3 linked regions of the Pelodiscus sinensis genome follow. The protein of the gene in region 1 interacts with the protein of each later gene in a pairwise test. Links are inferred from orthologs where the notes say so. Each region holds a gene or a part of one and is shown on either strand. Other genes may lie near its edges. The genes, in order: HIVEP1, BHLHE40 and ataxin-1-like.

The links.
Region 2: the proteins of HIVEP1 (region 1) and BHLHE40 interact in a two-hybrid assay, tested with the Homo sapiens proteins (2 studies listed by BioGRID and IntAct). The link is inferred for Pelodiscus sinensis from reciprocal best matches to the Homo sapiens genes HIVEP1 and BHLHE40.
Region 3: the proteins of HIVEP1 (region 1) and ataxin-1-like interact in a two-hybrid assay, tested with the Homo sapiens proteins (2 studies listed by BioGRID). The link is inferred for Pelodiscus sinensis from reciprocal best matches to the Homo sapiens genes HIVEP1 and ATXN1L.

What each region holds. Positions count from the first base shown.
Region 1 is NC_134712.1:109,735,527-109,742,808, reverse strand, and holds the start of HIVEP1 (zinc finger protein 40), read left to right. Parts: upstream 1-4,221; 5' UTR 4,222-4,374; intron 4,375-4,527; exon of another isoform or gene 4,528-4,648; intron 4,649-4,674; exon of another isoform or gene 4,675-5,554; intron 5,555-6,002; exon of another isoform or gene 6,003-6,365; intron 6,366-7,282.
Region 2 is NC_134721.1:16,270,238-16,277,633, forward strand, and holds the start of BHLHE40 (class E basic helix-loop-helix protein 40), read left to right. Parts: upstream 1-4,392; 5' UTR 4,393-4,601; coding exon 4,602-4,681; intron 4,682-4,885; coding exon 4,886-4,955; intron 4,956-5,386; coding exon 5,387-5,494; intron 5,495-6,492; coding exon 6,493-6,616; intron 6,617-7,396. UniProt on the Homo sapiens protein: Transcriptional repressor involved in the regulation of the circadian rhythm by negatively regulating the activity of the clock genes and clock-controlled genes.
Region 3 is NW_027466015.1:628,657-636,156, forward strand, and holds the start of ataxin-1-like, read left to right. Parts: upstream 1-4,412; 5' UTR 4,413-4,566; intron 4,567-4,572; exon of another isoform or gene 4,573-4,747; intron 4,748-5,419; exon of another isoform or gene 5,420-5,660; intron 5,661-7,500. UniProt on the Homo sapiens protein: Chromatin-binding factor that repress Notch signaling in the absence of Notch intracellular domain by acting as a CBF1 corepressor. Binds to the HEY promoter and might assist, along with NCOR2, RBPJ-mediated repression.

The sequences.
Region 1 (7,282 bases):
ACTGGGCTGTCTACACTGGCTCTTTTCCGGAACAGTGTTCCAGAATAAGGACTTATGCCCGAGCGGGAGCAGCATAGCTTTTCCAGAATAGCGGCTGATTTTGTACGGTAGAGCATTGTTGCTTTTCCGGAAATTCAAGGGCCAGTGTAGACAGCTCGCAGCTTATTCCGGAAAAGCAGCTGATTTTCCAGAATAAGTGGCCCAGTGTAGACACAGCCAGGGTGTGTCTAGACTACATCCCTATGTCAGCAGAGGGATGTAAATGAAGCACTTTGAAAGTGAAAATGAAGCGGGGATTTAAATATCCCGTGCTTCATTTGCATAATTACATAATGGCGCTCTTTCGAAAAAGGGCTCTTTCGAAATTGAAACCACAGTCTAGATATGATTTTCAAAAATGGGGCGCTGTTTCGAAAGATCCTGTAAACCTCAGATTTACAGCGCCCCGTTTTTGAAAGAACCGCGTCTTGACTGAGGTTTCAATTTCGAAATAGCGCTTTTTCAAAAGAGCGCCATTACGTGATTATGCAAATGAAGCATGGGATATTTAAATCTCTGCTTCATTTGCACTTTCGAAGTGCTTCATTTACATCCCTCTGCCGACAGAGGGCTGTAGTCTAGACGTAGCCAAAATGAGGTTTACAGGATCTTTCGAAAAAGTGCTCTGCTTTCGAAAGAACCGTGTCTAGACTGCGGTTTCAATTTCGAAATAGCACTTTTTTCCAAAAGAGCGCCATTACATAATTATACAAATGAAGCATGGGATATTTAAATCCCTGCTTCATTTACACTTTCAAAGTGCTTCATTTACATCCCTCTGCCAACAGAGGGATGTAGTCTAGACATGGCCTTACTGATTTAAGATATAATGGCATATCAGTTAATTATATTCTGGTTTATTCTATGCCTGCCTAGTGCATGTCTTTACTACAGACTTAAATCAAACTATGTTAGGTCAATTTACAGCCAATGCAGTAATTACTGTGGTGGCTGATGTCCACACTGACCTCCTTCTGTCAGTGGTGCACGTCCTGACCAGCAGCACTTCCACCAACTGAAGAGACTCTCAGCTCCATGCAGCTCTGCACAAGGAGCCCAGCTGCCTCCCTGGATTCCTAACCCCCCTGATTTCTGCTGGGAGTAAGGGGGCAGTCACACAAGCTTCTGGGCTTCTTGCCTCCGTGAATGGGGAGCTGGGTGGGTGCAGCCAACTGAGAGCCAGGGATAGCCAGGTTCTAGCTGCCTGCCTTCCTTATCAATTTCACATTCCTAACATGAAATTAACAAGGCACTTAATATCTGATGTAAGTAAAGCAGTGTCTACAGCGACACTGTGTCAACCTCACTCCACTGTCATAAGCAGTACACTTCTTGTAGAGTTGGAGTTATTACATAGGCATGGTAGGGCACTTACATCGGGCAGGACAAGGCTGACTGAGTTAGATTAATGGAATCTGCCTTAAATCGACTTAATTGTGTAGTCTAGATCAGGCCTAAGCCCCCCACTATCCAAGGAGTCTGTGCTTTTATATGTTTTGAGTGACTAAAGACTGTGAGAGAAATACAAATCTAAGCTTGATTAATGCATATGCCATGTTGCAGTGAACGATATAAGCAATATTAATATTTGCTGCCTAAGGTAGTTAAATTTGCCACAACACTCACCATATTTAATAAGAACTGCAGTAAAGTAAAATACTGTGGGCATGGTAAATGCTGATTTATTTAAAGTTTTATGTTATATCCTGGCCTCTCCCGTTTCTAAACTTTCCACATACTTTTCTGTGGTAGAATCAAGGTGCGTCTGTTTTAGGACTAGGACTTGTAGGTTCTAATGCAATATTAATAATAACAATTAGCAATTATAAAAGTACCTTTATACAGAATCACCTATTGTCAAATATGAATGTTTTATGCATAAATCTAGCGGGAAGTTATCAAAATTTTAAAAATTAGTCCCTTTTGAAAATGCAATAGAGAGTCAAAAGTAAAATATGCTTTAGTAGCCCTTCTCTCAACTCACCCATTTGAAGGGTGACTCTTATGTATGGGACTAATTTTAGATGCAGTTTTTAAAGTATTTTAGTTTTGTGAGAAGAAGTTTGCAGTGTGTTTCAGTGAGAGATTTAACATTTCACTGATTATTTTTTTGATATCTCCCTCATTCACAGGGCCAGAATAAGTTCCCAGATACTTGTTACTAAGAATATTCCATATCACTTTTCATCCTTATATTTCCAAGTGTTTCACATAAGTGGATATGCATATTTTTCTACTTTACTGTGGAAAAATCAGAGCAGAAAGAGAGGAAGTGACTTGCTCAAGGTCACACAGCATATCAACAATCAGAACCCAGATTTCCTAATTTTTTTCCAGCCATGTTACTATTCCCTGTTAGCTAGATGACTAAATCTAGTAGCCAGAGACAGATGTGAAAGGATCTCAACAGCAAGGGTCTAGAGGCAAATCCTTGCTAAGAAGCTCATTTAACTCCCTATCTCCTGGAAGTGTACTAGGATTCCTGTCATGGTGCTCTCCCTGAACACTGCTTGAAGAATTCATTTTAAAATTAGGATGTAGGTACCTAGTCCCACTGCAGCTTCTGAGTTCCAGAAGCAGTGATGGGCTAGAAGGTGGGATGTATGCTATTTTCATCTTCTCCTGTTTTGTGAATAGCTCCATTGCTTCTGCTGCTAGTGATTCAACAATCAGCAATCTGAAATTGATGCTGCTCTTGTAAGGCTTATGTCTATTTCCTGGATTTAAAGTAATAGTCTCCAATTTCATTATGCTGCTTGGGAAACCTGTGAGCATAGTAGAGACACTAGGAGCTGTCTGTCTACAGATTCTGGAATGTAGCACTTCATTGGTTCACATTTGAAAAATTACACTTGTGCCCAAAGGGTTAAAACAGTTTTTTCATAAACGTTAAAATTTCAGATACTGATGAGTTAGTGCCGGCTGTTACCAGGAAATCTCTGTATTCACTGTGGGTGAATGGGCTTTCCAAGAGCATCTCATTCAGACGACATAGGTTGACAGCACTGTTTCACCCACAGGCATAGGACTGGTCTACTCTGGGAACTTATATTGGCATCGCAATATATTTCAGGATTTCTCAACCCTGGGAAATGTAACTATACCAGCCTAGCCTAGTGCAGCCAGAATTAAGTTGCAGAAGAATTATGCCTCAGGAAGATGGATTTTTTTACACCCTTGAGATGAGGAAGGGGTTTGCCTGTCAGTGCAGGTAATGTCTACAGTGAAGCGCGACAGCATGTAGCTGCACAGCTCTTTAAGTATAAGAATAACTATACCTAAGTGATAGCATAACCTATGTGATGATCTTGCAAATATACTATAACCCCAAAACATCCAATGCCTTTGGGAAAAATGGGCATTGTATGTCACATATTACTGCCAGGGATGTGATATTATTATTTGTATTCCATTAGCACTTGAGAGTCCTAGAGAGGATGCCTGGTCTGATGGTTGGGGTGCTAGTCTGAGACTCATGAGACCTGGATTTAACTCCCAGGGTGTTGTTGGATAAGTCACTCTACCTCAGTTCTCCATTTGTAAAATGAGGATAATAATACTTTCCAGCTTTACACGGATGCTGTGAGGACAAATACTCTAAAAATGGCGAGGTGCTCATAAACTATGCTAATAGAGGCTATGTAAGTACCACAGAGGGAGAGCCCAGTCCTAGACCAAGATCTTGTGTTGATGACACTGTATAGATTTATAACAAAAAGTCAGCTCTTGCACTGGAAGGTTTACAGTCTAGGACAAGACACAACAGATGGATATAAATAGCTGAAGAAACACAAGTAAACAATGTAAGACTTAATGGGAGGTCATTTAATTAGATTTGTTCTGTTAAAAATGTGCTGGATCCTGATGTGATATAAAGTAAAATCTCATGTAAAATTCCCCTGGCAACAGAAACTTAAAAGGTCCAGTGCTTAGCATAATGTATTTTAAATTTTAAAAAGCTCTCTGGTTTTAAACAAAAGGGAAGGGTTTTGTTTCGGTTTGTTTTTAACCGGCGATGGCAACCCCCCTCCTTTTGCTTCCCTGTAACAAGAGAAGGAGGAATCCCTCACCGCGGATCTTCCCCATTCAAAATGACCCACAGGCAAAATCTATATAAACAGCTGATGGAGTAAACCAATCAGCGCAGTACAGCTAGAACAGCAAAACCCTAGGCAAGGGCCAAAAAAGGGGAGCAGCAGTAGAGAGCACTAGGCACCTCCTCCTTGTATTTCCTCTCACGCCCACATCCAGCAGTGGAGGTTTTTTACTTTCGGCTTTTGTCTCTTTATTTTAAAAGTTAACTGGGAAAGAATGTGCAAAGAGTGCGGGCATTGGGTGAGTTTCTTCTTTTAATCTCGTTGGGGGGAAATTGTATGGGAAGGGTTGGATGGTGGGGTGTCCTCGGTATGGGGAGGTTTTATCGGTATGTTGCAATAGGAAGGAGGAGGGGATTAGGCGTAGCTGCTAGGGAACGGGAAACCCCAGAGAGAGAGAGAGAGGAGAAAGAGGACGCAGCATGTGTGACCTGCCAGTGGCAGCAAGGAGGAACCTCCGGGATCTCCGCGTCAGCAGCAGCCCCAGTTATGTGCATACATGGGAGTGTGTGCGCGTATGTTTTGTGTGTCTTCTCTGTGCTGGCGGGATGGGCCGCTATAGGGGGGAGTGCGACACGCACCTGCGTGCCCACGGCATTGCATTGTTGGGGTGGGAGAGAGAATGCAAATGGATTTGTAATAATTTTTCTTTAGGCTCTTAATCAACTCCTGTCTGGGCATGTCTCCTCCGAGGAAAAACAGAGTTTTCTTTAATAAGACTTTAACAGTTTGTGGCTGCTGCTGGGATTAATCGTTGGGATTAACTGCTTCATGACTGAAAATGTCTCCAGTTCTGCCCACTGACCAAATAAGATGTCCGGTCCCACACACCGATACAGGTTAGCCTGGTGCCGCACCATCTCACGTGTTCTAACATAGTGTGGCATGGTGCAACATCAGCTCAGGCTCTCCCCAAAGTCTGACAACACTGTTGTGAAGTCTGGCACAAATAAATTGATGTGTGGGACACAAAGCTGCATGGCGCCGCTGTCGTGCTGGTCAGTCTGCTTGTGATGTTAATATGACTTTAGCTGACATGGCACTTTACAGCCGGACCCAGTACTGTGCAGACTACCCTGGGGCACAGGCTAACGCGACATCTGCCCTGGTGTGACAGGGCATGGCCAGGCCCAGCGTGGCATTGTGCCATCTGGCACGAAGTCACTTTTGCTGAGTGGGCATGGGGGAGGGCACTGGGGAGAGGGAATTCTTACTGGCTGGGGGATTTTATGTGATTAAGTTTTTTTCAACGTGAGCCAGGGCGCGTGTCTAGTTTCACTTCTGTCCCTTCCCACCAGCCTGTGAGGAAACCCCCTCAGTGACCCCTCCCCCCTCCCATGCAGGCAGGGAAGAAGGCGGGGCCGGGAGACCCGGTGACGTCACTGGACCGGGCCGCTTCCTGCAATAGAAAGTGAGAGAAGGTAAAACACCCCCCCTCCCCCTCCCCCGCCCCAGCCCCGGAGCCGCCGCCACCGCCGCGCGCGCCTCCCCTCGCGCTGCCCAGCTGCTGCGCCCCGTGAGTGACCGGCCGGGCAGGGAGCCCCCAATGGCTGCGCCGCCCGCGGCCCGGCCCAGTTGGCCTGAACCGCCCCCCCCACCCCATGCCCAGCCGGGCCCGCCCGCTGCCCCCTGCCTGCAGCCCGCCCCAAGGGCGCCTCCCCCCCCGCAGCCCGGCCCTTGCCCGGGTCACGGGCGGCTCTGCCCAGCCCGCCCTGTGCATGGAGCATCACCCGCTGCTGCCTGCGCGCCGGGGCGGGACTAGTGTCAGACAGACCGAGCGAGCGACAGACATTGCCCGGGGGGAGGGGGCGCCCTGCTGGGGGCTGGGTGGCTGCGGGGGGCGCCGTGCGGGCGGGGCGCGGCTGCTGGAGCGGTGGGTGTCTGGACGGGCGGGAGTCTCGTCTGGGGGAAGGGGTGTGTGTTGGGGGGCTGCCCGGATGCTGGGGCGGTGCATGTGAGCGGGGTAGGGCGGGGGTGGGGGGCGTTTTGCACGGCGGCTGAGGCGGGGGAGGAGGCCAGCCCCGGGTTGTGTTTGTCCGGGGTTGTCAAGTGAAGGAGGCTCCCAGGCGCCGTGTTTCCTAGCGGCTGCCGCCGCCATCAGCAGGGCCGACTCCAGCCCCCTCACCCTCCCCCCCGCCCGGAGCAGCCTGGCCGCGGGGGACCCGGGTGTAGCCCCAGAGCGGGTCCCGGGGAGCCGCCCCCTGAGCCGCGGCGGCGCCCAAGCACGCCACGGTAGGGAGATGGGGGCGGGCGGGAGGGAGGGACCAGTAGGCCTGGCTCCAGCTGCCGTCGTCCCCCACCCCCATTTCACTGCCGGGGGGCTGCGGTTTGTGTGAAACCCGCCTTTACTCCTGTTCCAGCCGCGCGTGTCTGTTTCCTAGCCGGGGAGCGTGAGGCGCCCCCAGGCAGGCTGGGCTGTGGCAAGGAGTAGGCAGGCATCCCGGTGATTTCCCCCTCCCCCAGCCCTTCCCATTTGTCCCCCACCCCATGCATCTCTTCCCCGGGTCAGTCCCGGTTTGCAGTCCCTCCCCCCCCAGCTTGTGGATGGACGTGTGCAGCGCTTTGTTCGGTGCGGCCGTGTTGCAGAGGGGTTTTCCCAGGCTCCTCCCTCTTTATTCATTCATGTTTTTCCCCTTTGCAACTTGTGTTCGCACTCTACCATTTAGTGCCTCTCTCTGTCTGTGGGTTTTTAAATCTTTCTTCTATGTTTTTAAATCCTAGCCTCTAATCTGCTTTGCTGGTGATCACAATATAGGCTTGTTTTAGGGCTGATATTTCAAACTGAGGAGGGAAAACGAAATTTCAAATGTTTTTAAACGATTTTTACCACTTCCATCTGATTTCCCATCCCCAGCAAAATAAAAATCTTATTATCTTATTGCTGGTGGGCAACTGAAGTATGCTGTTTTAATAAATATGTAACGTTATTTGTGTTGCTACTAAACACTAGGACATCTAAAAGCATATATTCAAAGAGGTGTCCCAATTTTGAAACGTACTTGCATGCTGAACCTCTAACACTTACGGGAAATGTATTTTTTTTACACATTTAAACTCCAGTGAGAGCTTAATTATTATCATCCCATGTTCAGAGATGCTCAACGCCTTTTAAAATTTGGCTAGTGATGTAGGTGCTTAATTACATTCAC
Region 2 (7,396 bases), on another chromosome or scaffold:
TAGCTTCCAAAAGGTTTTTGGTATTTGATGTGGCTGTTCTTTAACCTCCGGTGCCAGTAACATGAAACGAGACTGTTGGAAATGAGAGAGGGAGAGTCAGTTATTTGATTACAGCCCATGGGCACATGCCTGGCCTTCATGGGTATATTAAGTAAGAGACATTTTAAACAAAACCGCCCTCAGTAACCAAAGGTCTGAATCCACTACTGTCTGTTAACTCCCTGGATTCCCCACATATTCTTAAGAGTGTCAATGATTTGAAGAACTGTATTACTAACATCTGTAAATAACTATAAATCTCTGTTGGACACAAGTTATTATTGTTGTTATCCTATGGCATCAAATGCTCTACAACTACCATTGGAAATGCCAGATTGTCCCTTAATGGCTTTAGAAAATAATGCCATTACTTTTAACATTTCATTATAGCTTCAATCAGGCATTGTAAAAAAATCTGCCATGGAGAAATGGCTCTGCAAACAAAAATTAAAGTGACAAATTAATGATTGCATCAGCCCGTGAAAGCTGTGCCAGGCACTAGGAAAGTGTAATTTAATTCTCCCACAATCTAACTTGATGCCCAAGAATGTAATAACTTCATTTGGGACTCTCTTTCTAGGGGGGAATCCAAAATCCTTGGCAACTACCATTAAGGTCATCAGTGAAACCTGACAAGGCACATTATTTGGCAAACATACCAATAGTGAAAGAGCTAAATAATGGGGGATTACCTCTGATCCTGATTTCTAGCTCACCACCCATTCCAGGAATGTAGTGTCTCAAAGTACCTGTAAGAGTCAAACAACCAGTGGGCATGAATTTTTCCACATATATTTTTATTTTAAATCTAAAACTTAGAGGTGGTGAAAAGTATCTGCCCTTGAACCAAAATGCTAGAATTTGCCAGTAGCAATCCCCTACCATAACTCTACTTATTTCTATTGTTTAATAAAGACAAGTAAGAGAAGAATAAATGAAAGTATGTTAAAAGCTTAAAATTAAATAGCTATATCTATACATTATTTTTAAATGCCCTCACCTGTGGTACAAATAAGCTTAGAGCTTTAAACCAAAGGATTTTAATGCCTAATTTATTTTTCCACTCTTTATGCTATTTGTTTGCTTTACAAAACTCTGCTTTACCAATTAATCAGTTTCACTTTGTAATAAGTGTTAATGAATTTATTTAACAACAGCTGTAGATTAACATTAATAAAGACAATCTCTGCTTTTAAGAGCTTTCAATTTAAGGGCCTGATCCTGCAAGTGCTTATTCACGTGCTTAACTTTTTAGGCACCAGTAGTCTCTTTGAAGTCAATTGGACTACTCATATACTTAAATATATGCTTAAGTTTGCAAGATCGTGGCTGAAGGGCCCAACGCTGCAGAGACTTGAAATCAGTGAATTGATCATGACAGTGAATCCTATGCAGGCTTGGGCTATAAAACACATATGAGAGAACACTCAGTGAGAGAATAGTTAGCTTTGTTTTGTGGTTCTTGGTTGGTAGCTATACTGTACTGTTTAGGCTGCAGACACCACAGGGGAATTTTTCTTTCCTACAAGTAAGATTTTTACCAAACCTCCGCTTTGGGTCTACAATGACCTGACAGGGTTTCGTTAACTGAGTCACCTTCTAGTGTAACAAGTCTACAACTCTAAACCCCTTTAGCACTTTTGCCACCACACATGCATTTAAATGACAGTGTATCCGGAAATGAGCATGCCATCTTCTCTTACATAAATGCTGTCTCCAGTCTCTAGCAAAGTCTTTGCTGACTTCAAGATTCTAGCCACAGTGACTGTCACAGGACTCTCAGAGGAGATAGGGAAATCTTTGATAAACCTTGGCTGGTTTTGTTATTACCTTATCTAGTAAATATACCTTCTTTGGAGTGATCTGTCCTCTCCTTGTTTAGTATGCAGAGGAAATGACAACATATCCTCAAAACAACAAGCCTGCTTTTGCAGTTACACTTCACTATAATCATCCTAAGCATTTGTACAACAGCAGGCAGACAAAAGTCTTAAATGCTTGACAAAGATCAAAGAATTAAACCTCCCCAGACACCTATGAAATAGGTAAGAGTGTAATATTTCATAGCTGGTCCTAGTTCTCAGCTATTCTGCTCCTGCTCTTGGGGAATTCAGAGGCTGCACAGGGGAATCCTAGTTCCCAGTTAAAGGTTTCATGTATACATAAACATGTTGCTGCTTAAACTTAGCTGATTTCACTTTGCTGAATAAGCAATACCAGTAAGCAATGCTCCCTCTAATCTTTTCCATCAATGTGCAGAATGTGCACCTCCACTAGAAACAAAACCTACCTGTGGGCGCCCTGCGGCATTTCAATTTCTCCTGAGTGGCTGCACAATCACACAACTTAGAGCAGGGATTTTCAAACTTGGGTCACAGACCCGCCAGGGAAAGCCCCTGGTTGACCTGCAACACTTTGTTTACTCTAAAGCTCCACAGACACAGAGAGAACACTTTGACCCTAGTTTGAAAACCCCTGGCTTAGAGGGAACACTGCTGGTAAGTGCCTTATAGTGGGCCCATAATAGGCTCTTATGTCAGTAAAAGAATCATACATGCTTATGCTGATAAAAAACTTTCTCAATGTAGATCAGGCCTAAATTACGGTAGCCTCAGCCCTGAGATTGCTGTAATTATATACTCTGCTTCTCTGCCCCCTCCTTCCCCCTCACATCGCCTGTCACATTACCAGTTGTCTTAAATCAGCCACTGACTTGGACAACTGCTCCAAAGGAGCGCACCGCTGAATTCCAATTGTTGGTCACTCTGCCTTTGCCCTGGGTTCAGCTGCAATCTCCTCAGCCCAGACCATGTCTGAGTGCTACTCTGCTAATGCCAGAGTTCACACAAATCCCTGCACCCCTTAATACCAGTTATTCTCAGCGGCATTCCCAAGCCTGGGTATTTCCCTCTAACTGTAGAAATGCACATAGAAGATAATGCTGTTGGCCAAATTCTATGCTGCATTTTATCAAGCCATTAACCACTGCATTACTATAAAGTACAGACTTTAAAAAATAATTAAATTACCTGACAATAGATATGGCATGTTCTGTGTCTATTCCCACTGGAAAGCTGCTATTATTGCATAATAGCTCAGCGGTGGTAGCCAGTTTCTTTTAGTGGGTGGCAAAGTATTTGTCTGTAGTGGCATCAGGGGCCTTGTCCCAATCATTTCCCTGCTGTTTGCTGGGATTTTCAGTCAAAAGCACTCAGAAAATGCATTTTTAGCATATCAGCTTATGAATGTCTTCTCCTCGTCCTGTTTTACACCACTGAACATGGAGAATCAGCTAAATACGCTGCAGTCGGGTGCAGCCGACATGCTCTGCCTCTGCCGGTTTCCATGAACCTGGAGCACTGCCCACTCTGCTGGGAATAGTGCTAGGCACTGAGCCGCTTCAAAAGCCTTTTCCACGTACCAACTAATTCATCCAAACAACCCCTGTGAGGTAGATAAGTTAGGTTTTACTCTCCAACCTCCTATTTTACTGAGAGGGAAGCTAGAGCTCAGTAGTTAAGTGAGGTGCTTGAGGCCAAAGAAGTTGTCTTCTGACTAGGGAAGGGCATTAGGAGGGAGCATCTGGAGCGTCTGGTCTCCATAACCCCTAGACCTGCCACAACACCCTCTTCTGTGAGATCTCTGCAGTTCTACATGGGGGTCTCCCCAGCAATGTTACCTCTATTCTTTTTCCGCAGCGGGGCAGAATAAGTTTTATGAGCACTGCGGCATGTGCGGATGTGCACCACCAACAGGCACACATGCTGCCAGCGGTGGGGGCTGTGCTGCCTTTGAACCTCCCCATGGTGTGCAACCCATTTCTCAGCTTACAGGGAGCACTGGCCATCACCCAACCCTCCCCACCCCACCTCTGGACACCCCCTCTTCTGTCCCTCATGCCCTCCCCCCCCGCCACCTGTGACACCCCCGGGCGGGGACACCCAACCAGCCTGCCTCCCCGCTGCGCCACCCCAGGGTGAAGGCAGAGAAGCCAGGGCCCGCAGGTGCCACTTGCCCACGACTCCGCAGGGCCGGGGCGAAGGAGGGAGGCGCCGCGGAGGCGGGCAGGGCAGCCCGAGCCCCTTCGCTCGCTCCCCTCGCAGCCCGGCCCGGCGGAGCTGTCGCTGTCGCTGTCGCCCCATCACGTTCGGGCTGCTGCTGCCGCCGCCTGGCGTGCGCGGCGGGGCGCCGGGGAAGGCAGGCAGGCAGGCAGGGCGGGGAAGGGGGGAGGCGAGGCCGGAGCGCTGTCCGACACGTGAGGCTCATGTGATGGGGGAAGGCAGGGCTCTCCCGCCCCGGCCCAGACAGACGTGCCGGGAGTCACAGGGTAGAACACGTAGCGCCAGCCACCCACTCGCTCCCATTTAACCCAGCCTGCCGCCTGCCCGCGACTCCTCAGCTCGCGCCCCGCACCGAGATGGTCCGCGCGCCGTAGCCGCCTGCAGCCCCGCAGCCCGTCCCGACGCCCGCGGCTCTGCCACCTGCCCGCGCCCCGGGGCTCTCCGAGGACCCGTTTCGCTGCTTTCGGCCGGAATTAAGTTGCAGCAGAGCCCCCCGCTGCAATGGAAATGATCCCCAGCGCCCAGCCGCCTCCTGCCTGCCTGGGCAAGCTGCCTGCGCTGGAGAGCAACGAGATGCCCGGGTAAGATGCCTCTTCTTTGGGCCAGTGCTCCCCGCCACCTCCCGGGGCGCAGTCTGCCTGCTGGGTTTGGTTGGAACTCCTGGTCCTTCCCCCTGTGCCTGTCGGGCTCCTTGCGTTCTGCATTTGCCCCGTGTGTGTGTGTGTCTGTCTCAGTGTGTAGGGCTAATCATGCTAATTCATCGCACTTTTATGTCATCTGTGCAGGCTGGCCTTTTCTCACATGTATCAAGTTTACAAGCCCAGAAGAGGGTTAAAAAGAAGTGAAGATAATAAGGTAAATGGAGGAATTGCTGAATCTTTGCATTGTTAGTTAACACCTGTGTTCATTTGAAAAAATGAAGTTTTATGCATTAGTGTCTGTCTTTCGGGTTTTTTTTAAATCTGCTTTTTGTATAAAGCTGAACTCTTACAAAATTTGCTGAGGGATTTAGGAGGGTTGTTTTAACATTAGACAGTTTGAATCAAAGTTTTTTTTTTTTTAATGTTATGAGGCTGTTGCGCTCACACCTATTGTCCTTGAATCTGGGGCTCAGAAGATGAGAGGGGAAAATATTTATTTCAGTAGCTGTTACATACAATACTTTTGGGTACACAGAAGCTTGAGGTCTAATTTTATTTCTAGATCACCTTTTACCATGCGTCTATCCATGGTGCTAGGAAGTCATCTTGTGTCTTGTCTGATTGCTCCTTTCTTTTGGCTTCCAGGAGACCTATAAATTGCCCCACAGACTGATAGAGAAGAAGAGACGTGACAGGATTAATGAGTGCATTGCCCAACTGAAAGATCTCTTACCAGAACATCTCAAACTTACAGTAAGTGAAAATCTGGCTAATATCCAAACTCCTCTTCCTTTTGGGGATGTGCCTTGGTTAATGGATTTCTGTGCCATCTAGAGGCTTCATCTCAGCACTGCAGATCTAAGTGGAAAAGGCTATGATTTGGGCAGAGTTGCCACATGGATCTATTACAATTGGTTTTCCTTGCAGATACTGTGAATTTCTAAATAGTGTATATCTGTGGTGGTGGTGGGATGATGTGAATTAAGTTGCTGCAATATTAAAATAAATCATGAGGTAAAAGTGATTGTTGTGGGCTTGATTTGAATGTGGGGGGATTTGTTTTTTTTTTTAAATTGAGCCTCTGAAAATGTTCCTTCTTGCTCTTTTTGAAGTTTTACTGGATGCCATTTATAAGTTGATCCCTAACTTATCTGAGAGTCAAGTCCCTTTAGAGATTGCTTCCATACTTGCATTCTCTGTGTTCTTGTTCTGCAACACATTTTAAGGTCAGCCACTTCTGCTTCTGTAGTGTGTGTGTGAAAAAGAGTAAAAGCTTAAGTGCTTGATTAAAATTAAAAGAAAAAAAATCTCTTCAGAAGTTATGGGGAAAGCCATCTTGGCTGACATCCTGCAGGACACCCCTCTCCTGTCACTGTTCAAAAGAAACCCTTTGACTGGATCCCCCTGTGTTAAGGTCATGATACCAGCAGGGGCAGCAGAATAGATAAATAAAATAGTTGTTTGAGAGCTATGCAGTTGGTTCTAAAACACCCATAGGGTGTAACTGTACCCTTCACTGCAACCCTCTTTTTTATTTTTTAAGTTTACATAATATGTGGATCAGACTCCAAATGTTAACATTGTTGCTCAAGACAACAGATTTCACTGAATAAAGACACCGTTTTTAACCTTGTCCGCCAAATTGCAGCTCACTTTTTCTTATATATATCGCAAGGAATTGAAACCTTTGTAAGATTCCTTGAAACGTGACTGACTCTAAAATAAGTACTAACCTGTCCATTTGTTTCCAGACATTAGGTCATTTGGAGAAGGCTGTGGTTCTTGAGCTTACCTTGAAGCATGTGAAAGCACTAACTAATCTCATTGAGCAGCAGCAACAGAAAATAATTGCTTTACAGAATGGTTTACAAGCTGGTGAGTATTCAAGTCATGCTTGTATCATGTGAGAACCCTGGACTGTCTCATGATCTTACTTTCAACATCTTTGAAATACTGGCTACTTATGACACTTGGTTTGGGAGGTGGGAGGAGTAAGCGTTTCTTTTTTTTTCTTTAGCACGCAAACCCCCCTTTATGTACATGTGGATTTATGAAAAGATATCATTTATCCATCTAGTCAGTTAATTTATAACTAGCTGTGAAGTTGAATTTTAAAGTATATTAAATTGATTATAGCTATTTTATTTCATAGTACAGTTTTGCTGTGAGGGCTTGATCCCAAACTGATGGGAGTCATTCCATTGACTTCAATAAGGTTTGGATTAAGCCCTGATTCCTGCACCCCCCCTAAATATGAAAACATCTCTCTGACACATCCTTTTTGGTTTCTCATTAAGTTAGTTAGTACCCAGCTGAGCTGCAAAGAGTGGGCTATTTAAAGGCCCACTGTATTTTACATCTGTTTTTTCCTTCCCCTTCTTTGTGACACTGAGTCTGGCAGGATAGAACTGGTTTTTCTAAAAAGACTGCTATTGCTTGAACAGCCACTAGATATGCAGCAGAATTACACAGCCAAACCCAATATCACTTCCCAAAGTTTAGACCAACCCCGCCGCTCCCCAGGTGCATGCAATTGATTTGGGACGATTTGGGCCCTTTGTACTCAATTTTCATTAGCTGCAGATGAGCCAGATATTTCTTGCAAATCACTTTGGAACTGATGTCTTTCTGAGGTGATACCAAGGCTTATTCACT
Region 3 (7,500 bases), on another chromosome or scaffold:
AGCAGTGGGGCATTGTTGGCACATGATGGCGTATATTACGTTAATAGATATGCAGGAGAATGTACCAGTGACAGTATGGCTGATCTGGTTAGGTCCTGTGATGGTGTTGCTGGTGTATATATGTGGGCAGAGTTGGCACCGAGGTTTGTTGCAAGGATTGGTTCCTGAGTTCGAGTTATTATGGTGCAGTGTGTAGTTGCTGGTGAGAATATGTTTCAGGTTGGCGGGTTGTCTGTGGGCAAGGACTGGCCTACCTCCCAAGGCCTGTGAAAGTGAGGGATCATTGTCCAGGATGGGTTGTAGATCACTAATGATGCGTTGGAGAGGTTTTAGCTGGGGACTGTAGGTGATGGCCAGTGGTGTTCTGTTAGTTTCTTTCTTAGGCTTGTCCCGTAGCAGGAGGCTTCTGGGTACATGTCTGGCTCTGTCAATCTGTCTCCTCACTTCCTTGTGTGTATTGTAGTATACAGAATGCTTGTTGAAGATCTTGTAGGTGTAGGTCTCTGTCTGAGGGTTTGGAGCATATGCGGTTTTACCTCAGTGCTTGGCTGTAAACAATGGATCGTGTGGTGTGTCCGGGATGGATGTTGGAGGCATGCAGGTAAGTATAGCTCGGTAGGCTTTCGGTATAGGATAGTATTGATGTGACCGTCACTTATTTGCACCATGGTGTCCAGGAAATGGACCTCCCGTGTAGACTGGTCCATGCTGAGGTTGATGGTGGGGTGGAAGCTGTTGAAATCGTGGTGAAATTCTTCCAGAGTCTCCTTCCCATGGGTCCAGATGATGAAGATGTCATCGATGTAGCGTAGGTAGAGAAGGGGCGTAAGTAGACGAGAGCTGAGGAAGCATTGTTCCAGGTCAGCCATAAAAATGTTGGCGTATTGTGGGGCCATGTGGGTGCCCATAGCAGTGCCACTGGTCTGGAGGTATATATCGTCACCATCTGAAATAGTTGTGTGTGAGGATAAATTCACAGAGTTCAGCCACCAGTTGTGCTGTGGCATCATCAGGAATACTGTTCCTGACAGCTTGTACTCCATCTGCCTGTGGGATGTTTGTGTAGAGAGCCTCTACATCCACAGTGGCTAGGATGGTGTTTTCTGGAAGATCACCAATGCATTGTAGTTTTCTCAGGAAATCCGTAGTGTCACGGAGGTAACTGGGAGTGAACTAGTAGCTGCAACCTAATCTGGCTCCAGGGTTAACATTTGACTAGATGTAGGTAAACACACAAATACAATTGGTACTTACTCTTAATTCTCTAATACAGGGTTGAATTTCAAAGCTCTAATGACCTAACAGTGGTTGAAATGTAGCCATGTTAGTCTGGTGCAGCTGAAACAAAAAACAGGACTATGTAGCACTTTAAAGACTAACAAGATGGTTTATTAGATGATGAGCTTTCGTGGGCCAGACCCACTTCCTCAGATCAAATAGTGGAAGAAAATTGTCACAACCATATATACCAAAGGATACAATTAAAAAAAGATGAACACATATGAAAAGGACAAATCAAATTTCAGAACAGAAGGGGGATGGAGGAGGGGAAAGAGGGGGGAAGGTAAATGTCTGTGAGCTAACATTATTAGAGGTGATAATTGTGGAAACTATCTTTGTAATGGGTAAGATAATTAGCACCTTTATTCAAATTTGAGTGTAAAGTGTCGAATTTAAGCATGAATGACAGTTCAGAGGATTCTCTTTCAAGTGTATTCTTAAAAGGTCTTTGAAGCAGGATGCAGGTAATCAAGTCATTGAGACAATGTCCTTTCTGGTTGAACTGGCAAGAAACTGGTTTTTCTTTGTGATCCTGTCTAATGTCTGTTTTGTGGGCATTGATCCTTTGGCGAAGTGTCTGAGACGTTTGTCCAATGTACAAAGCAGACAGACACTTTCGGCACATGATAGCATAGATTATATTTCTGGATGCACAGGAATATGTGTTCTTGATCTTATAACTCACTTGGTTGGGTGAGTGTCATATTTTACAGTTCCCACATTTTGGGGTAACATGATTTGTGACCCCCCACAACAGCCCAAATTAGTTAGAATACACCACATTCCATTCTAACAACCGATCCTCCATCAGCCCTGGCTGAATTGGATTTACATAACCACACCTCGGATTCCTTCTCCATCTCGGTATGAGCTATATTTACATATCAATTATCTTGCAGAGCTAAACAATTAGAGTGAGCATACCCACCCCCAGGGCAGCTCTCTTCTTTTAGCTGGCTGATAGCAAGCAGTGGTTCAGCCCCTGCTTACATAGAAATGAGAAAATATAAATTATCCAGTATTTTCTAAATCAGATGTAATGTAGATTGTGATGTAATGTCAAGTGTGTCCGGGATTTTTGTTGAAACCATCAGGCGACCCTACAATTTAGGGAGAAGTAGCTAAGCCTTTTCTCTTCTTTTGAGTTTATAATCTACTTTCCTCTGCCTGTTCTCACCTATCACCACTTAAATCCTACTGCTTGTACTTCATAAAATCCTTTTTATTTTCTAACAAACCCGAGTCAATAATTATTCCCTGTGGGAGCAGTGAGTGTGCACATCCCCCCTTTCATTGCTAAAGGGGGCTTACCTACATAATTCATTTGGGGCTTTGATCCCATTTGGGGAGTGGGATCTCAGGAAGCTGGGCCCAAAACTGCATTTTCCTAGGACCTGAAGAGATTCAGTGTCTGCCCTGCTTCTCAGGGGGCTGTGAGTCTCAGCTCTGCGGTCCAGGGAGCTGGCCCAGCAGAAGCCCCAGAGAGCAAGAAGGAGGGTGGCAGTGGCCTTCTCATGGCCCTGGTAATCACCCCCAAGGGGTGGCCTGTTTGTCCCTGCAATACCCCGGCTCACAAGGACACCAGTCAATGCTGCCCCAGAGGCCGAGGGGGTTGTTTGCATGTTTGGCATTTTGCCAAGACGATTGTTACAGCTGCTGCACCAGCAGCTACGCGGCATCAGTCCTGGCAGTGCTGCCTTGTCGCTGGCCGGCGTGGCAAGAGCCATGACAGGCCAAGAAGAATTCTGGCGCTCCAAAGCCACGGACCTTCCACTGCCAGGCCCAAAAGCACTGCCGCCACCAGCCCACAAGGCCGCCCAGGGACCGCCCAGCCGCTCCCCAGAACCACCCCTGGCTGAAGCCACCGTGTATCCCCGATGCATAGCCTCCCTGGACACGGACACGCCCCGCCCCCTTTGGAACAGCCAAACACTAGCGGCCAGGTTGTGTGCTGGGGGCGAGCCTAAGGGCAGTACAGCGCTGGGGCAGAGCCCATAACGTGGGTGCTGGGAGCGGGACCAGGAGCAGTAGAGCGCTGGGGGTGGGGCCAGTAAGGTGGGCACTGGGGGCGGGGCCAGGAGCAATAAGACTCTGGGGGCAGGACCAATTGTGTGGGAGCTGGGGGTGGGGCCAGGAGTAGTACAGGGCTGGGGGTGGGACCAATACAGCGCTGGGGGCGGGGCAAGAAGCAGTTTGGAAGGGGGGAGGGGCATGGCCAATAGTCTGGGAGGTTCGGGAGCGGCAAAAGGCGGTTCGGTGCCGGGGGCGGGGCCAGGAGCAGTACAGCGCTGGGGGCGGTGCTAGTAAGGTGGGTGCTGGGGGTGGGGCCAGAGGTGGTTTGGTGCTGGGGGCGCGGCCAGTAGGGTGGGCACTGGGGGCGGAGCCTGGAGCAGTAAGACGCTGGGGGTGGAGTCAGGAGCGGTTCGGCACTGGGGGTGGGGCCAGGAGCAGTAAGACGTTCGGGGCGGGGCCAATAGGGTGGGAGCTGGGGGCGGGGCCAGGAGCAGTTCGGCACTGGGGGCGGGGCCAATGAGGGGCGGCTTGGCACTGGGGGCGGGGCCAGGAGCAGTTTGGCACTGGGGGCGGGGCCAATGGGGGGGCGGCTCGGCATTGGGGGCGGGGCCAGGAGCAGTTCGGCACTGGGGGCGGGGCCAATGAGGGGCGGCTCGGCACTGGGGGCGGGGCCAGGAGCAGTTCGGCACTGGGGGCGGGGCCAATGGGGGGCGGCTCGGCACTGGGGGCGGGGCCAGGAGCAGTTCGGCACTGGGGGCGGGGCCAATGGGGGGGCGGCTCGGCATTGGGGGCGGGGCCAGGAGCAGTTCGGCACTGGGGGCGGGGCCAATGGGGGGGCGGCTCGGCACTGGGGGTGGGGCCAGGAGCAGTAAGACGCTGGGGGCGGGGCCAATAGGGTGGGAGCTGGGGGTGGGGCCAGGAGCAGTAAGACGCTGGGGGCGGGGCCAATAGGGTGGGAGCTGGGGGCGGGGCCAGGAGCAGTACAGCACTGGGGGCGGGGCCAATGAGGGGGCGGCTCGGCACTGGGGGCGGGGCCAGGAGCAGTACAGCACTGGGGGCGGGGCCAATAGGGTGGGAGCTGGGGGCGGGGCCAGGAGCAGTTCGGCACTGGGAGCGGGGCCAATGAGGGGGCGGCTCGGCACTGGGGGCGGGCCTGGCCGGCGGCCGGGCAGCGCGAGGCGGGGCGCAGAGGGGCGGGGCCGCGCGGCCGAGTGACTCCGGCTGCGTGACTCCACGTAGGGTCAGACGGCTGCGCGCGGATCCCTCCACCAGGTAAAGTAGTGCCGGGGCGCGCCCCGCCCCCGCCCGCCTCAGGGGTCCGGCAGCCCCCGCGCGGGCCGGTGCGACATGGCGGCGAGCCCCGCTCCTGCGGATCGCTCCGCCGGCGGGAGGGGCTGAGGCTGCGCCGCCGCCGCCGCCATTTTGGCGCCTGGCTCCTGCTGCTGCCCGGCCGGTGAGTGGGGCGGCGGCGCTGCTGCCCGGAGGCCGCGGGGTGGCGGGCCCGGCCTGGGGCGGCTCCCTCACGGCGCTGGGCCCCGCGCGGCGCGGCCCGGGGGGGGCTGAGGCGAGCGGGCCGGGGGGGGGCGCTGTGCCGGGCCCGGGGGGGGCTGAGGCGGGGCGGGGCCCGGGGGGGGGCGCTGTGCCGGGCCCGGGGGGGGCTGAGGCGGGGCGGGGCCCGGGGGGGGGGCGCTGTGCCGGGCCCGGGGGGGCCTGAGGCGGGGCGGGGCCCGGGGGGGGGCGCTGTGCCGGGCCCGGGGGGGCTGAGGCGGGGCGGGGCCCGGGGGGGGGCGCTGTGTCGGGCCCGGGGGGGGCTGAGGCGGGGCGGGGCCCGGGGGGGGGCGCTGTGCCGGGCCCGGGGGGGCTGAGGCGGGGCGGGGCCCGGGGGGGGGCGCTGTGCCGGGCCCGGGGGGGCTGAGGCGGGGCGGGGCCCGGGGGGGGCGCTGTGCCGGGCCCGGGGGGGGGCTGAGGCGGGGCGGGGCCCGGGGGGGGGGGGCGCTGTGCCGGGCCCGGGGGGGGCTGAGGCGGGGCGGGGCCGGGGGGGGGCGCTGTGCCGGGCCCGGGGGGGGCTGAGGCGGGGCGGGGCTCGGGGGGGGGGCGCTGCAGTGTGCCCCGAGCATCCCGCCAGCGCGTGTCCAGGGCGCTCGCAGCCCTGCGGGGCCGGGGCGGGGACGGGCGGGCGGACGCAAGCGCGGAGAGGGGTCGGGGCTACGGAGACCGGGGCAGACATGTTGACTGTGCTGTTGAGCGACGCTGAGCTGCGGGGAGTCCCCCCAGGGCAGCGCTCGGAGCCTAAATGCTCCCCGTATTTTAATCTGACATGGACAGTTCATCCAGCGCTTCCGAAATAAAGGGACCTGCCTGCACAGGTGGGGGGTGCACAAGAGGATTCACAGTAACTAACCTTGCTCGCTCCTGGCAGTCTATAGTATCTAGAGACTCTGGCAATTGAAACATTGCATCTGTCTGAATGTTTTTGCTACTATTTGTATAAGTAACATTGAGAGTACTGTGATACATTCAAAGATTCCCAAAGCTGAATAGCCTCTGGTTGAAACGTTGTGAAATTATTCAGGTATAGGAGTAATAGTAGGCAGGTGTTGTAGTCTAGCCAATTTCAAGTGTAGTGGAACAGCTGGAGACAAGAAGCTACCACTAAATGGCCTGCCAGCTGTCTGGGCCATCCACAACCTGTGATATAACTGAATAAGATTAGACAAAAAGTTAATTTGACATGTATTTGATAGCATTTTCAGGCTAGTCACTTTCATTGCTGCTCTTGTTCTCATGGACTTGTCACTCAGCATCAGGAAGAGAAGAATACCTTTAAGGATAAGAAAATATTTGCAAAATGACAGAATTTGGCAGGGGACTCATGCCTACGGGGAAGTTGTGGATCCTCCATTGCTGGAGGTTTTAAGGACAGGTTAAAAGAAACATCTGTCAGGAATGGCTTAGGTTTACTTTAACCTGCTTCTGCACATATAGGGCTTCTAGCTCTGCATTTCTATGAATATGAGCCTACCTGTAACTATTTCAATGGGATAATTTTCAATTTGGTATTGTCCCTGTAATAAGCCATTGCTGCTTACACAGTGTGGTGTGCCATATATACATATATCCTGTGTTGACAATGGAGGACGCTGAAGAGCGGCCATGGGTAAAATGGCTGAGGAACCAAGTTAATGGGACTTAAGATCTGTATTGTAAGGTTTAAAGTACAGGCAGGCCCTGGGTTATGTACAAGATAGGGACTGTAGGTTTGTTCTTAAGTTGAATTTGTATGTAAGTCGGAACTGGTACATATTGTAGGGGAAACTCTAGCCAAACATTTCTCCAGAGCTCAGTTTTATTCTCCCACACCTCACTTCCCTCAGTCCTTTATTCTCAAGCTGAGGTGTCTGCTGAGAAAAGTCGCTCTGCGTCTCCCTGGTCTGCTGGGGGGAAGCAGCTAGTGTGGGGTTGCCTCACCCCATTTGTAAGTAGCGATCCGATGTAAGTCGGATCCATGTAACCCGGGCTGTCTGTATAGCTAGTTGCTTTAGTCTAGTAACTGAGCACTTTCCACATAATACCAATAGCAAAGTCCTAGTGGACTGGTTCCTTCTTCCCCTGAGGTAAAAAAGCCTGCTCTGAATGCATAGCTTTTTTGGTTTGTCTGTTACAGGTTTTTGAGTGGTGGGGATGTTCAGTTAAAAGGAGGTAGCCCTGTTGCAAAGGTCTTTTTCAGAGGAAGATTTTTGCAGCATCTCCTAAAGATAGCCTAAATTGCATAGTTCATTTAAATAATGAAAATGTCTGTGCACTTTGCCTGTTAAACAGAGAGCTAGATAACTGAGTGAGTTTTACTAGGGATGCTAGCACATAGTTGTATAAATGATTAACCAATAAGCCTCTGCTTAATGGTTAATCCTAATGGCTGCATGCATATCCCTTCCCCCTGATGCTTCTACATCAGAGGCAGCAAGGATGGGGAGGCAGGAGCTGGTGTCTGTGGGGAGCTACCTTTTAAGCTGGCTCCCCATGAGCACAGTATCCTGTGGAGCTGCCTGCCCTCCCCACCCCTGTGTTCCTGCCTCTGATACTGATGCAGCTGTTGCTACACATCAGAGGCAAATGTGTTGCAGGGAGCATGGGGCCAGCAGGGGACTCAGCTATCCCCCACTGTCCTGTGCTCCCCATGACGTTTCAAAGTGGCAGCGCCGCATG